Linked DNA regions of Neurospora crassa OR74A. The protein of the gene in region 2 binds, or shares a complex with, the protein of the main gene of each other region. Links are inferred from orthologs where the notes say so. Each region holds a gene or a part of one and is shown on either strand. Other genes may lie near its edges. The genes, in order: NCU04336 and NCU05714.

What was found.
Region 1: NCU05714 (region 2) and NCU04336 share a complex: the UniProt entries of both Schizosaccharomyces pombe proteins name them as parts of the mitochondrial large ribosomal subunit. The link is inferred for Neurospora crassa OR74A from reciprocal best matches to the Schizosaccharomyces pombe genes mrpl10 and mrpl19.

The regions. Positions count from the first base shown.
Region 1 is NC_026504.1:3,731,460-3,738,670, reverse strand, and holds NCU04336 (mitochondrial 54S ribosomal protein YmL19), read right to left. Parts: upstream 3,979-7,211; 5' UTR 3,810-3,978; coding exon 3,669-3,809; intron 3,601-3,668; coding exon 3,265-3,600; 3' UTR 2,730-3,264; downstream 1-2,729. Other genes in the region: stk-30 (protein kinase), read right to left, coding at 1-205, 462-727, 893-947; NCU04337 (survival factor 1), read left to right, coding at 5,178-5,200, 5,265-5,480, 5,563-6,364, 6,426-6,530; hH4v (histone h4-2), read left to right, coding at 7,188-7,211. UniProt on the Schizosaccharomyces pombe protein: Component of the mitochondrial ribosome (mitoribosome), a dedicated translation machinery responsible for the synthesis of mitochondrial genome-encoded proteins, including at least some of the essential transmembrane subunits of the mitochondrial respiratory chain.
Region 2 is NC_026503.1:603,328-610,852, reverse strand, and holds NCU05714 (mitochondrial 54S ribosomal protein YmL10/YmL18), read right to left. Parts: upstream 5,116-7,525; 5' UTR 4,991-5,115; coding exon 4,650-4,990; intron 4,525-4,649; coding exon 3,927-4,524; 3' UTR 3,288-3,926; downstream 1-3,287. Other genes in the region: NCU05715 (sorting nexin mvp-1), read right to left, coding at 1-206, 263-402, 452-1,294, 1,823-2,408. UniProt on the Schizosaccharomyces pombe protein: Component of the mitochondrial ribosome (mitoribosome), a dedicated translation machinery responsible for the synthesis of mitochondrial genome-encoded proteins, including at least some of the essential transmembrane subunits of the mitochondrial respiratory chain.

The DNA.
Region 1 (7,211 bases), on a different chromosome or scaffold from region 2:
TGAGGTTGGCACTCCGCCTTTCTTGCGCCAGAGCGCTCTCGCGGCGAAGTTCTCGGTCGACGTTGTCGGTTCCAGCCGGCGTGAGAGGAGGTGTATGCATTTCGTGGCCCCTGACGTGCGGAGTAAGAAGCGGTGAGTTGCGACCTGCCGAGCTCCGTGTATGTTCGCGACTGGGAGCTCTTGAATCATCTTCGTGGGAAGGTGTCTGGAGATAGCAAAGTATTAGTCCTCGCCCAAGGGGTAAAGACGCAGACGCGAAGAATGGTGACTATGCATGCATGGATATATGGTGTGCAATCAGACAAGAGACATGGAAAAAGCCAGCAAAAGCCACCGAGCTGATCTTGGTTGCACAAGCCCCCCCCGGAAGCGACGGACCAAGGCAAAAGCAAAACTTGGGAGATGAACAAAGGAAGGAAGCAAGAAGCGTAGCCCCTCACGTGAAATTAGGATGGGCTTACCCTTGAAGCGGGAAGCGAGAATGCCTCGTACTGGAAAAGGCTTATCCTTCGCTCCTGCAGCGGACAGGCCTTCAACCTCTCGGCGATATCACGAAGCTGCTCGGGGGTGACCTCACCCGGTTCGCCGAGGGTGACGTCTGGTGCAATGGTTGGTGTCGATGTGGTGCCCTCTGGCGTGATCTCTTCGACAGTTGACTTGAAGCGGACAGCAGGCTCGGTTTTGGATGGTTCAGCGGGAGTGACTTTGACCGATTGCGGCTCGACAGCTGTTGGAGTAGACTACAAGTCAGCGAATTGCTTCAATCCAATGCTTGCTCGTTCTAGTCCCCGAGGATTGGCGTAGTAGGGATCAGAGATGAGGGGTTGCCGTTGATTTTTTATTCGTGTTTTTTTCTTTTCCAATTCTTCGTCGTTGTTTCCTTTCTCCTTACCTTGGAACTGTTCGTCCGGTTGACGCTGCTCTGACTCTTTCTCAGCGGTCGCCATCTTTTTTTTTTTTAGGTGTTTTGTTGTTTTTGTTGGGTGACTTTGATTTCTTGGTTCGAATTTGCGCCCGTCTCCGCAAACTAATAAAACTTGTAAAATCCTGGCAGGAATCCGAATAACGTCTGGTGTCTGGCCCGCCCTGGAAAACAGAGATAAAAAAGATGGGATAAAAGACCGTGTGATGCAAGATGCAAGGGCCAGACAGGTGACAGAGCGACAGAAGATGCAAGACAAGACCAGACCGGCAAGCAGACGCAGCGGCGGAATGGGCGGAAACTATGTCAAGTGGAAGCAAGGGAAAGGCAAATGGGACGGCGGCGAAAGAAGAGTCGGGGCCAAATAGATGACGGCGATCTCAACTGTCATGGAACTGCAAAGCCTGTAGACAAGGCTTGGACTGGTCACTACTAGTACACTATGTAGGAGGTGAATAATGGGGTTTCCACTTTCCACCGTGACTTCTGATTTGACTTTGCCTGGCCTTGACGATTCCTTGTCGATGCTGTGTGCCTAGGCTTCAGTTCTTGTTCACTTGGGACAGAAGCGGCCCGGGTTCGGCGAAGAAATGGAAGTGTGAAAGATGGCGCTCTGTTGCGTCGTGGTGGGGCCGAGCTATGTACATGACAGGTACTTACAGGAAACGTTGGCTGCAGGCGGCGGGAAACACGGGTACCCTTGATGGACCACCAGCCAGTGCACCCGCCTGGGAGGAGAGGACCTGAGTTGAATCTGAGAGCGGGCACGCCGGCACTGAGATCGGGCCAAGCCGGCTTTCCTAGAATGATTGAATTTCAGACGGATCCGCAGTCACAGACTCCCGTCCTCACAAGGTGAACGGTCTCGAAGCCAAACAGTTTGAACGTGGCGGCGGGCACCCTGTCTGGGCGTCAGTGTTCCCAAAACCGCAATAGGAGTCCCGTCTTGGATCTTGGTCTTTGTCATACACTACACAAGTACACATTGGAACCGGGAGCGGTCGGCAACCTGGGGTCAGGTCCCTGATCCTGTCCATCGATGTCCTCTTCCATCTTGTCCGACTTCCTTTTCCAGCTTTGAAAGATGCCGAGCGATTGCAGCGCCTCCCCCTCTAAAACGCCAATGACCAGCTGCATTGACGCAGTCGTAATTCCTGCCAGGACATCCATTCCATCACATCTCTGTTTCCGCCGCCCCGTGTTGTTCCTCAAACACTGGGCAGTTCACCCAATGACTCGAGTGAACACCTCAGCCGGTTGTGCCTTGCGTCCTTGGCTGTCATCCTCGTTGCCCTGCGTTTCAACTGAACAACAGAGAGTCAAGTATGAATCCCGCAGCAGCCCCGACCACCGTCAAAGCGGCCTTTTAGAGCGCCGCCGTGTCCGAAAGACCGAGGCACCGCAAAGGCATGGATGACAAGTCTAGGTGGTGTTGGTGGTCAGCTTTGTCTCCAGTGACTGTCCTGATGTCACCCAACCTTTTTTTTCGATGGACTGCCAACGGATATGGTAAACAGCTTTCTATGTCGATCTCTACCGCCGAAAACCAGGTCCTTATCGCTCGGTTCGGTGTAACCCATGTCGATACCCCGCCATGCTGCGGGAGGTAATTGCCCGAATGGTTCTAGAAGCCATTGAATGTAATTGCAATCGTTGCACACGTGTAGGATATTAAACAATCATCCATTTCATCTCGTTAGTATTGAAAGCATGAGATGAACACCATGGCGACATGATACCGGGGCTTCGCCTGAGTGGTAAGAAGTGGGCTGGTGGATAAGCACTTGGGCGAAGCGGATGTTTGTTTACAAAACCCCTTTTTATATATGTGTGTGATTTGTCTTGCAGTCAGCTTAGCCAAAAGCATTATAAACACATCTCACCTACATTCAGGTAAGCATAATACCCGTTGGGCGGTCTACCTTGGTGACCGCCAACCTTAAAACTTAATCCTACAGAGACAGATCCTCGTCATACGCCTGCGTGTTCCACAAACACAAGCTATGTGAGCCAAGGTTGACGAAGCTGGAGTACGTTGAGGCAATGCAAACGCAAACCGGCAAATGCCCATATATGCCATGCCTGCCATCAGCACCCTTTTGTGGAAGCCTTTCCCAAACGATCATACTCCGTGGACCAACCAACAGCTCCAGGCACCGCTGTGCATTTTGAGATTTTGCCATACAATAATGATACAAGCAAAGATACACAGAGCCACAAGCTATGGCTATAGTCCGCATCCAATATTGGTAACAATGCCGTGGTCTATCCACCTAAAAGAAACAACCGTAACGCCTTCGTGCCCCCAAGCCCGTATAATGTCTTTCAGCGTATAGCCTCTTTCAGGGGATAACGTTGATACCGATCGACCTGGCCTGGTAGATGACCGCCCTGCAGAGGCCCTCGAGGGGCAGGCCGGATAGACGGAGCTCGGACTGCTTGATCTTGGCAATCTCGTAGACATGTTTGAGGCTGACGGTGCCGACAACCTCCTTGCCGGGGTTGCTGGCGCCCTTTCTCTTGCCGCCCTTGCCTATCGGGGCCTCGGCGGCGTTGAGCAGAAGCCATGATGTGTGAGGGGTGCGGACATCGAAGTGGAACGAGCGGTCGGGCCTGACGGTAACACGGACGGGCATAGGGGTACCGGTGTTGATATGGGCGGTTCTGGCGTTGAACTCCTATACAGATTTGAGCGCATGTCAGCTTGTGTTGTGGATATTATATGGGTGGGCGCATGCAAACCGACCTTGCAAAAGTCCATGGACTTGATGCCCTTGGAACCAAGGGCCGGACCGACCGGGGGACTCGGGCTGGCCTGACCGGCGCCGACAATGAGCTTCACCACCTGCTCAACACCACCAGCACCACCTTTTGCGGCCTTGGACATTCTGGCGACTCTACTGCAGATACCCTCGAGGGAAATTAAGTTGGGAGGAGAACGGAACGGTAATTCGGCGCGTCTGCAGTCGCGTGTTACACTTTCGAGGTCGGTCGGGTATCCTCGTTCGCGACGGCGGCAGCAACGGCGGCGGCGACGCCGCGCGCGGCACCTCAAGCTGGGCCCAAAAAAAAATCAGGGCGCCGGGCCGGCAACCGTTGCAGCCAGGGTCACGTCAGCCACTTCTTCAAAGCCTCAGCCACACACTATTTAGTGTAAAGTGCCGCAATCAGTCCCTTATCGCCGCTTTTCAGTGCCGTTAGTGGCTTACAGTAGTACTAGTACAGCATCGACGCCGAGCCCGCCCGTCAACTGAAAGTCCCGGCCTCGCTCGTCCCCAATTGCTCTCCTACCCGTACTACGCCCCCACTTTTTTGGACCTCGTAGAACTCGCACCCCCTAAAGTGGGTGCTCACGGGTACTACGGCCACACCAGTAAAACGGCCAGGTCAGGGTTAGAGGTGCAGTTTTGAGGCTCGATTCGTAGGGTAAAGCACAACTTCCCAACATATAGAAATTTCTGAAAAATGAAAAGCTGAACGGATACATTACTCTGTCCTGACTATCTTCTAACTCTTTCTTTATTCTCAATTAGTTGTTGAAATACGTTGTGGGCGTTCACTATTTTGGTATCGTTTATCTGATTCGCACCTCTAACCCTGGTGGCCGTTTTAGTGGTGTGGCCGTGTTATTCGTAAGCACCCACTTAGGTGGGTGCGAATTTGCGAGTCCCAAAAAAGTGGGGGCGTAGTACGGGTACCGGGCGTGACTTGGATTGATCATTCCCGTCATTGCCTGCCGCCTGCCCTGCCGCAAAGGTGCGTTCGAGCTGCTGCAAGTCTGCAAGGGAACACAGCATTGCGAAACCTGAACGCTCCAAGTGATTGCAGACCCGCTGTAGGAACCTGAAAGGGTCCAATCGATCGTCAAGTCCTCAGGTGATGTGGAGAGTTGGGCGGAACAGTGACGTGCACCTTCAAGAGCCAGTGAGTCTTCTTTGCTGCTCGACTGCCACGCATCGAGGGCCACGGCTAGAGGCAGTCGGCCGCGGGGAAGCCCAAAGGTACGTACTTGTAGGAGATTTGGGACAGACTGGGTTGCCCCTTCTGTTTTCCATTGGCTTTTATCTGAGCGCGGCGCCATCTCAGCTCTGCCCCATCTTTCTCGACGGCGGTGAATGACTTTAATCTTGAACATCAAACTACCTGGAAAATTCTCACAACTAGACTCATTTTCGCCTCGTTGTCTTGACTTTTTGCTTCTGTAATCTATACTCTTCCCATTTCGCCCTATACCCCCCCCCCCCAGTCTTTCATCATGTTCAAGTGGGCGCAAGCGGCGTGAGTACTCCAAGCACCACCCCCACCATCCGCTGGACGCAGACCTCTAACGACTCGCTTGTAGGTTGGCCAATGTCGCCGGCACCAAGGAGCCTATCTACGGCCCCGAGGCTATCAGGTCTGTCGCCGAGGAGGCCAAGACAACTCCCTATACCGAAACCACCAAGGATGACCTGAAGTGGCAGGCCATGGAGTCCACTTGCGTCGAGACGCAGTGCTTCTACTTCATGACGGACAGCGGCCAGCTCGCCTTTGCCCAGGTCATCTACTCTAACGTTGCGTAAGATTCCCCATTGCACGATTCGCCGTCAATGTGGCGCGCTCGCAAACTTGGGCCTTGTATTGACCTGATGGCACAACAGTGGCATCCGCACGACTTGCCAGTTTAACTGCAAGGTCTTCTCCCTGGATGGATCCAAGCCCCACCTCTGGTGCTCTACGCCCCTCAACAACCACGAGTTCAGCGAGGACAAGACCAGCTTCTACGCCACCGATTGCGCCGTCGAGCTTTCGGAAGATGGAAACTCGTACACTATCAAGTCGTTGAACGATGAAAGGTCGATTGTCAACGTGACCATCAAGAGGACAGCGCCTGGCTTCAAGATTGGTACATCCGGCACAACACTGTTTGGCACCGACCTTGCCAACCCTTGGGGTTCCATGCGCCACGTTTTCTGGCCCAGGTGTGTCGCTGAGGGCACGATTGCCACTCCGGATGGTCCCGTCGACTGCAAGGGACGCGCCATGTTCGTCCACGCTCTGCAGGGCATGAAGCCTCATCACGCCGCGGCCAAGTGGAACTTTTGCAACTTCCAAGGCCCCAACTACTCTGCGGTCCTGATGCAGTACACAACTCCCCCTTCTTACGGATCGACGGTCGTGAACGTCGGCGGTATTGTCAAGGACAATGAGATCATTTTTGCCGGCGCCGAGGGTGCGGTCACGCATGTTGCGATCAAGGGCGACACGGAGAACGACTGGCCCGAGCCGACTGCTATCAAGTTTGAGTGGAAGGGTACTACCAAGGACGGCAAGCAGGCCGATGCTGTTCTAGAGGGCGAGCTCGAGGATAAGCTCGACAGGATAGACGTCATGGCTGAGGTGCCGGGATTCGTCAAGCAGATTGTCGCGGGTGCTGTTGGCACAAAGCCGTACATTTACCAGGTATGTTGTTTTGCTGATCACTCATTATTTGGACTGTGGAACTGACATGAAAACAATATAGTACGCGCCACAAAAGAAGAAGCTCACTCTCAAGCTCAAGCTTGGGGAGGAAGAAATTTCGGAGGAGGGCTACCTGTTCAGCGAGGCTACCTTCATTTCCGCCTAAATCTAAGATGTGGATGAGGAAGTAATGACGGTTTTTTCTGGGTAACACGCTATATCAATGAGGGCTGGTATCATGGTTTGGAGTCGTTGAGAGATGCCGATAGAGGTGCTTGGTCACTCGTTGGACGGTTTGTCTCCTGCATACTGTTTATAAGGACTCGATAATTTGCTCCGTCTCGGTCTGGACAAGGAGCCCGCTTTGCATAGTGGATCGGATATAACATAACAAGGCTTCCTGGAGAGCCCAATAATTTAATAGACTTGGATTGCTTCCTGTGCTGGTCGTGTTGTCCGCTGCGACTGTGTGATACATGGTACGTAGTTTAACTTAAGCATCATCTTCTTGCCCTTCCTGTCTGTCAGTGCACCTCTTTACGCTGGCGCACGGATCCCTATTTGGATATGATGGATAGCTTAAGCTCACCCTCACGCTGTTTGAACTCCACCCCTCTGCCTCGCAAGGGAACCGACCAACCTCAAACTTTCAAACCACTTTCAGCCCCACCTTAGGCGCATTCGCTTACACCAACTTCCACTTGACTGCACGCCTCCGTCCCGGTTGCATTTGGCCTTGCAGGGAGTGCTCTTTGAGCTTTCATCATTTCTTTTGTTTACTCTCAAAACAACGCGGGTTAACTTTGATCACTCGTTAAGTACCATGCCGCCAACTATACCCTCTCGC
Region 2 (7,525 bases):
ACGCCTTCTGAGCGCTTGATCAGACGGTCCATGATGGTGCAGGTGCTGATATAGAGCTCAGCGCTGCGGCGGACGCCGACTCGGGTGCGCGCAAAGAGCTCCTCCAAAGTTGGGGGAAGCGAGTCCTCGAGACCGGGCGGTAGTGTGCGGCCGGTAAACTCGTCCTGAACAGAGATTGTTGCTTGCTTGCGCCAGACCGACAGTTCCTGAGAGCACATCATTAGCAGCTGCGGGGAAGCCACAAAGTGTGAGGTAGACATACCGTAGGCACTGTCAAGAACATAATCACCAGCTGCTCCTGACCCAGAACCGGGTGGCGCACAAGAGCGTTGAGGAACCTAGCCAGACCGCGGCGACGCTTCTCGATAAAGGCTCCATCGTTGGACAAATGGTTGCCATTGACTGTCTCTGTTAGCGTAGCCCATGTCCCTCGGAATGGTCTCTAACTTACAAGCAACCCGCTTGGGCGGCAACAGCGGCAGCACCCTAAACGGATACCGCTTGTGCAAGCAATCCAATAACCACACAAAGTCGCTGTATCGTCGGACGACCTTGCTGCCACGTCTTATGCTCGAGACCTCGTAGTTGTGGTGCTGGAACATGAACACACCCTCCTTCTCCGGCATCAGCGTCACCAGGATATTCTCCTCCACGTTGCTTCCGGACCTGACATGTCCAATGCTTCGGTTGGGATTGGAACCACCGACTGAACCACTGACAGACTGACCAGGTCCCCCACTATCACCAAACGGACCTGTGATAGCATTGTCTGCTGGCTCGCCGAACCCTCCTCCCGAGGAGCTGCCGGGAAAGTAGTTCCAAGCGCCATTGCTTTCTTGAATTGACTCGGCGACATTGTGAATTGAGCTTGGACCCGAGGGTGGTTGGCTGGTGGTGAAAGTGGAAGTTGTCCGACCGGGCAAAGCGCTACTGGTGGTCGTCACCTCGGGACTCGTACTGTACGAAACAGCGTCGTTGCCGTTCAAGTCGTTCGCGACCGACCGAGGGACGTCGGCGGCGCCGTTATGTCCCGTCGAGTGTTCTAATGGGCCATGGTTATGACCTTTGTGAAGATCGGGCGCGTTCCACGGGTCCTCGGGGTACTCCATTGAAACCTTCCTCAGCGTGGGCGGCTGGTGTTGCTGCTGCTGCTGTTGCTTGGGAGGAGACGGGGTGGGGGCTTTTGGTGGTGTGACGGGTCGTTGTGGAGGTTTCGCACCAAGTTCAGACAAATTCGGCAGCATGGGCTGGACGTTCTCGTTGACAAGACCTTGTAGTTTGGGCTGGGGAAGATCTGGATAGCGGTTACGCAACGAGGTTAGCTTAGTTGCCATGACACTGAAGAACTAACGGACCCACCCCCGATGGCGTTGACCTAGGACCAAGGCGATTGCGGATTTCGGAGCGCGCGAAGCAGTGCACTAACACGGAAGGAAGATGATGTATGTGATGGGGAGAATATGGGGTATTTTGAAAAGCAAAACGCAATATCAGTGTTATTGAGCAGAGCACGAACAAAAAAGACGGACAAGCAAAAAGGTTAACGGAGTCGGCGGGAACAATCAATCAACAAACGGGGGATTGACATATGACCGCCATTCGAGGTTCGTCTGGGTTGCAACGGGGTTGGGATGGATGACCAGCCAGCAACTGGCTGAAGAACCGGAAAATCAAAGGCGCCCCGGCACTTTGTTGCGACGAAGCACTGCAGGCAGAAACGTATTGTAGACCGAAGAAGATACACAACCGAAAAACAGGATTGGACAATGTCGGCAGAAGGGAAAGAAATAAAAATCAAAAACAAGAATCAAAAAAGACTTACTTCGTCGACGTTCATCCACGCCATCCAAGCTGGCGACCTCCCCTTCTTGGACAAGGCCAATCAGGGCCAGGAGAACGTTGAACTCGTTCCTGCCCAAGTCCCCCAAGCCAACAGCAGCAGCAGCAGCAGCAGCGGAGCTGTTAGCCTCCCCACCATGGGCACCATCACCCCCACCACCAGCGCCTGTAGCGGAGGCCGAAGCAGGGGCGATGATACCCATTATGCGCGCCTGGTCATCGGCGCCAAGCTTGGCCGCTGCCAGCGTCCGCGCAACCCCCCCGGCTGTGATCCGCCCATTTGTGCTCCGGTTCTCTGTACGGACTACTGCGTCGAACGTCTCGATGTAGCTCTCGGGAACGTCGCCCGAGGGGAGGAGGTTGCGGATCAGATCGGCGCGGCTGCGCTGCTTGCGCGGGGTGGGCATGTCCCAGGGCGAATCGTGGTCATCGTCGGCGAATAGCGCACTGCCGGAGCGAGTGGTGGGCGCCTCGTTATCGAAGAGGGTCGAGCGGCTGCTGTTGGCGGTCTTGGCTGGGTTGAGGGCGGCCGAGCCGTCGTTGGGAGGGGAGCTGCCAAAGAGCGACATGTTGTGCTGGCTGGAGAGAGCTTGGAGGGCGGACAACCCAAGGTAGGTAGGTAGGTTCACGGTGTAAGTCGGTTGGAGGAGTGAAGATGTTCGGCGCAAGGCGAGGTTGAAGCAAAATGTGAGGCCACTCTGCAAGGCTCGGTTTCTGCAACAGTCGACGCAGAGAATCTCACTAGCAGCGTCGCAATGCGACTCGTAATCTGGATGCAACGGAGGGCTGTTGGAGGGCTGTTGGATGTAGGTACCGCCACTGGTAGTGTAGACGTAGGTATATAAGCTCCGTCAGGATTGGCACTGCAAGGAACAACCCCAATGGGCCAGGGCTGAAGATGGAAGAACCAAAGAGTGAACAAGTTAATGATGAGATTATGGCAACCTCAGCCAGAAGAAGAAGAAGAAGAAAAAGAAGAAAATGAAACACAGAAATGAAGAAAAAAGTTGAAGCAGGTCGTGATGTTGACAACGACAAAGTTTGGTCTCTCCCGCTCGAGGAAAGAAAAGTCAAGATGCATCAATGATGACGCCGCGGCGGGCAGAGTGGGTGGAGGGCACGCGCCGACTCCAAAGCTGACACAATCCCGTTCGGGAGGGCTGCATACAGTGGCTTCAGTGGACGGTTCCCGCTGTGGAAGCTGGGCATGGTGATTAGGGGCATTAGACTGGTCCGTGCATACTCCACTTTCTTTAAGCCGAAGGTATCGAAAGTCACCCGTGTAATTACCGTAATTACAAGACATATGGTCGGCATATGGTTGACATATGTCAATATTAACGATTCACATTCACATGCGGGGGCCTCTCACCGGCCCCCTGCACCCCCGGAGCTAACCCTAACCCTAACTAACCCTAACTAACCCTAACTAACCCTAACACTAATTGGTAATTTGCAGAGAAGTCGGGTATTGACGGCTGTTTTCGGACGTAATTACAAGCTGGTATGGAGAAGGTACCAAAAGCGACCTGGCACGTGATCAGACCCATATTTTCTAATGCCCCCATTCACCGTCCCCGTGGAAGCTGCCCTGGAAGGAATGGCCGGGGACCGCCCAGGACCGGGACTTGACCGGGGTCAGCTTGCGGGATTGACATGTCACTGGCCAATGGCTGTTCTTCCGACTGCCAGGTACGGGACAGCAAGTCTTCGAGATCCGTCGTTTGGACCATGTCAACACGCAGCCAAGTGATATTTACTTTATAAAGCCCATCTTCGAACTACGATGGATCGCAAAAGCAGGAACACGTCAATCAAGGGAGTTTCATGATTCACCTGCGTTGTCAGCAAGTGGAGTGCTGGCCGCATGTGGGAATCCACTCCCGTAGGTGAGACCTGTATGATGTACAAGGACCCAAATAGAACTGATCCGAGGAGCAAGACGCTGGACTGACAATACGCGGATGATAATAATACAACACAAAGCACAGAGCCATGAACGGGCCCAGTACCTATCATACAACAACGAGGAAGAGCGCAACAACGAGTCTCGGAAAAACCGCCATCCCAGGCAATGTTCGTGTTCATTAGAAGAGCTTCTCCGACGCCACATCCCCGGTCTTGCTGGCCTTGACCTTGTCGGCCCTGACCACCTTGACCTTCTCGCCGCCCGTCGGTACCTTGAAGTACAAACTGGGCGACTCGCCAGGCGCAAGCTGGTGGCTGAGGTAGCCCCTATGCGCCGGGTCTCTGTAGTACTCAATATCCCAACGGCTGGTCGGGTCCGGCAGGCGGTAGTACTTCTTCTTGAGCGATCGCGCCTGCGCCAGGATCTCCTCCACGTGCTCCTTGCCCACCGGCAGCGGCTTGTCGGTATGAAGAGACTTGCCCTCTACCAGACGCTTGAGCGATTCCTTGGTGTAGAATCGGGTGACGATCTTGCCGCCGGCAGCCTCGATGGCCTCAATGGCGGAGGCGGACGCGCGCGATACGGTGATGGTGACGGGGATCTTGAAGCTCTCCTTGCCGCGGCCGAGAAGCTTGATGCCGTCCTTGATGCTGCTGCCAATGATGCCGGACTTGATGATCTCCTTGGGGGTAATGGGCTTCGTGGGGTCGATACGGCCGGCTTCGATCCATTCCTGAAGCTTTTCGAGGTTAAGCTCGGACATGTCGGCAGCGAACCTATGAAAGACACAAATGGTTAGTCTCCATCATGTATCTGGTAGGTATAGGTTATCGGATAGCATGCTGGAGAGTTCTTGGCCATGGCGCATAGCAAGCGAGGTAGGGAAGTCGGGACGGCATACTGGTTAACGAAACCCTTGCGGCCGTGAGAGACGATCAAGGGCGTCTGACCACCCTGGAACCATGGCTTAACATGACCGTGGGCCTTCTGACCCTTGGTACCGCGACCGGCAGTCTTGCCATAGCCGGACGAAGGACCGCGACCCTTGCGAATGCGCTTGTGGTAGGCGCCCCGGTTGTCGGACAGGCTGGCGAGGATGGATGCGCTCCTGGTCTGGACGGAGAGGGCAGCAAAGAGCGAAATGAGGGACGACGTCGGCGACGAGGCTGGGACCGAAGGGCGGGCTGTGAGGGAGGCCTGGCAGCATCGCGCCGCCTGGGCGAGCGGTAACCTGGGAGGCATGACGGAGGCGGAGGACACGGGAGTGGGTTGGGTCTGGGTCGGGCAGTCTTCCGGATTCCGTTCCTCACGGCAACGGCACTTCCCCGAAAACAAAAGTTCAGGACCCGCGCCCAGCCAAATTCCGACACCTGCGTCGCGGGGGTGGACCGTGCGCCCTCGTTGGTCTCGGTCAATTGCGAATGGGCGGCTGAGTCAGCAGCTGGTCCACATCCGACGTCCTTCGCCAAGGGACCGTGATGCTCCAAAATATCCATGTTCGATATCACTTACACGGGATATGCAAGAACATGTCAAAGGTTCAGTGCGGTGAAAGTCCCTAAGAGTGATTGTACCGCGGCTTAACAGGCTGAAGAACATCTGGTGCGAGTTTAGGGAATTTTTCCACCCAGTCGGAATGATCATAAATTGAGTGTCCCGAGGCCATTGGAGGTGCGTTGAGAAAATATTGTGCAAGTACAACTGTGGGATGCTTAAAGTATTGCCTTTGAGAGCAACGCAAAACAGGCAGCCAAGAGCAGCTCATACTAGAAACCTATTATAGATGGGTCTCAACTGCGACCTACGCTAGAATTACACAGAAGTCCTGAAGTAGGGCGTGTCGAAGGGGGTTCTGTGTCAGCCATGAGCCAATCGAGCTGGTGGGGTTCGGGAGTGTTGAGAATGGCATGAGTGACATACACGCTGGAATTGCCTGAATGTTACTTTGATTTACTGAAGGTGTTTGTATGGCTGATAGAAAGAATGTAATTGTTAAGCCTTCTTTGCTGTCGGATAACGTTTACTGCAGAACAGAGCAAGGGACAGCGTGCAGTCATTTCGCGGGATAAACATAACCGATCGTGATGGAACTTTCCAAGTCAAGCAGAGAAGCGCCGCTCCGAAATGGCTTTTCACTCAAGTCTGTCTGAATTTCAAGCATGGAATGTCAGTCCCAAGCCCAAACCACGCGCCAGGTACCTGCCACCGCTCCTGCCACCGGCAATCGGTCGGCACGCCCTTCACCGACGGGAACATCGGATGACAAGATCCCTTCCCGCCCAGGCCGCAAACCTCTAGTACCCTCTGCTGTAGCCTACAGGTATTATATAAGGTCGGGTTCCCTAACTGATCTCTCTGGCATAACGGAACTCTGTGATCTTTTGGCACAGTGGTTCCCGTTGATGAAAATGTGTGGCTTTTTCGTAGGTCTGCAGTTGGGGTATTGTCGTTCGTTCTACAAACTTACCTGGGCGACCGAGCTTTTTGCTCTTCATGTCAATTGGACAGCCTCTCAGGGCCTCAAAAATGTGGTCTCTCAATATTTGCTTTCTGTCTTGGGGCTGATAAATGGGTTTCTTTGCGAGCGGGAAAGATCCCATGGATGTGGTCATGTTTGCGGCAGCGACCTGATCGTTTTCGTGTACAAGTCAAGCCCTCACCACCCATGGATAGCACCTTCCTTTTAGGAAAGCAACTGGGTCAGTTTCAATACGACTTGAATGCCAGACTACTTTCTCTTTCATTTGACGTTCAATATGTTTACGGTTCTTTCTTCGGTCTTGATTCATGTTTTCAAACGTCGTTGTCTCTATGGATTATCAGGATGTCCACATCGATGTCTCTCCTGGCTGCCTTCTCAATGCCAACCGTTTGCGCAACTCGCGTTCTTCCTTCGGCGAATGAGGTGCGACGTACTTTCCTTGACATCTCCAAAGTGTCCACAGCAACTGTCCGAATTTCACGGGATCATAACATCAACTTCTAGGTCGCCATCAATTGTTCTTGTCGTCTTTGAACCTGTGACCTGACTTTCTCTCTCGCTGTGGCACATTGTATCTCCTTCTAGTCTTGCTTGACCTGAACATGAAGCGGCTCAGCTGTGGCAATGTTCCCAACTTCGTGTGAGTTGGGATTTGTATTGTCACCTGGAGTTACCATGTCGCATGTTCTTGGTCCCAGCTCCTTGTTCGATCATTTACGAAAAAGAGGCATGTCCTTTCCTTTATCCCAGCGTGTCGTCCCCTTCCCTCTAGCAGAACCGGTCATTCATCGATAGTCTCGAAATGGGGGTTCATGCAGGTGTCCTCTCGTGCTTGCCTGCCAACAGCTGACTTCTTGACGCGCTTTCTTTCCCCGCTGCCATTCCGTCTCCTTCCGGGCCACCTGAACAGACCCCAATCCTGCCCTTTATTACAGGAAGTTGCAACTTCCACCCTGCACATACCGTAGAAACTCGCGCAATTGGCAAAACCATAATGCCGCAAAAAAAGAGGTTTTTGGGGCATAGTACAGGATGACCTGTAGTGCCCGAGTCCGAGCCTGTGCTTTGGAACGCAGGCAGGATAGTGTTGGCTAGGATTGTAGAGCCTTTACTAATTGAGCGGACATATGTACAGGAGTATGCTTCTTCCTGTGCTTACTGTCCGGCGCTGAAAGAGGGAATCGGTTTTGCCAATTGCGCGAGTTTCTACGGTACCCCTTGCACTCGGACTTGGGCGTTATGACAATCACCAGATTTGGCACGACGACCTCCTTGAAAAGTCGTAGCCGGCCTTG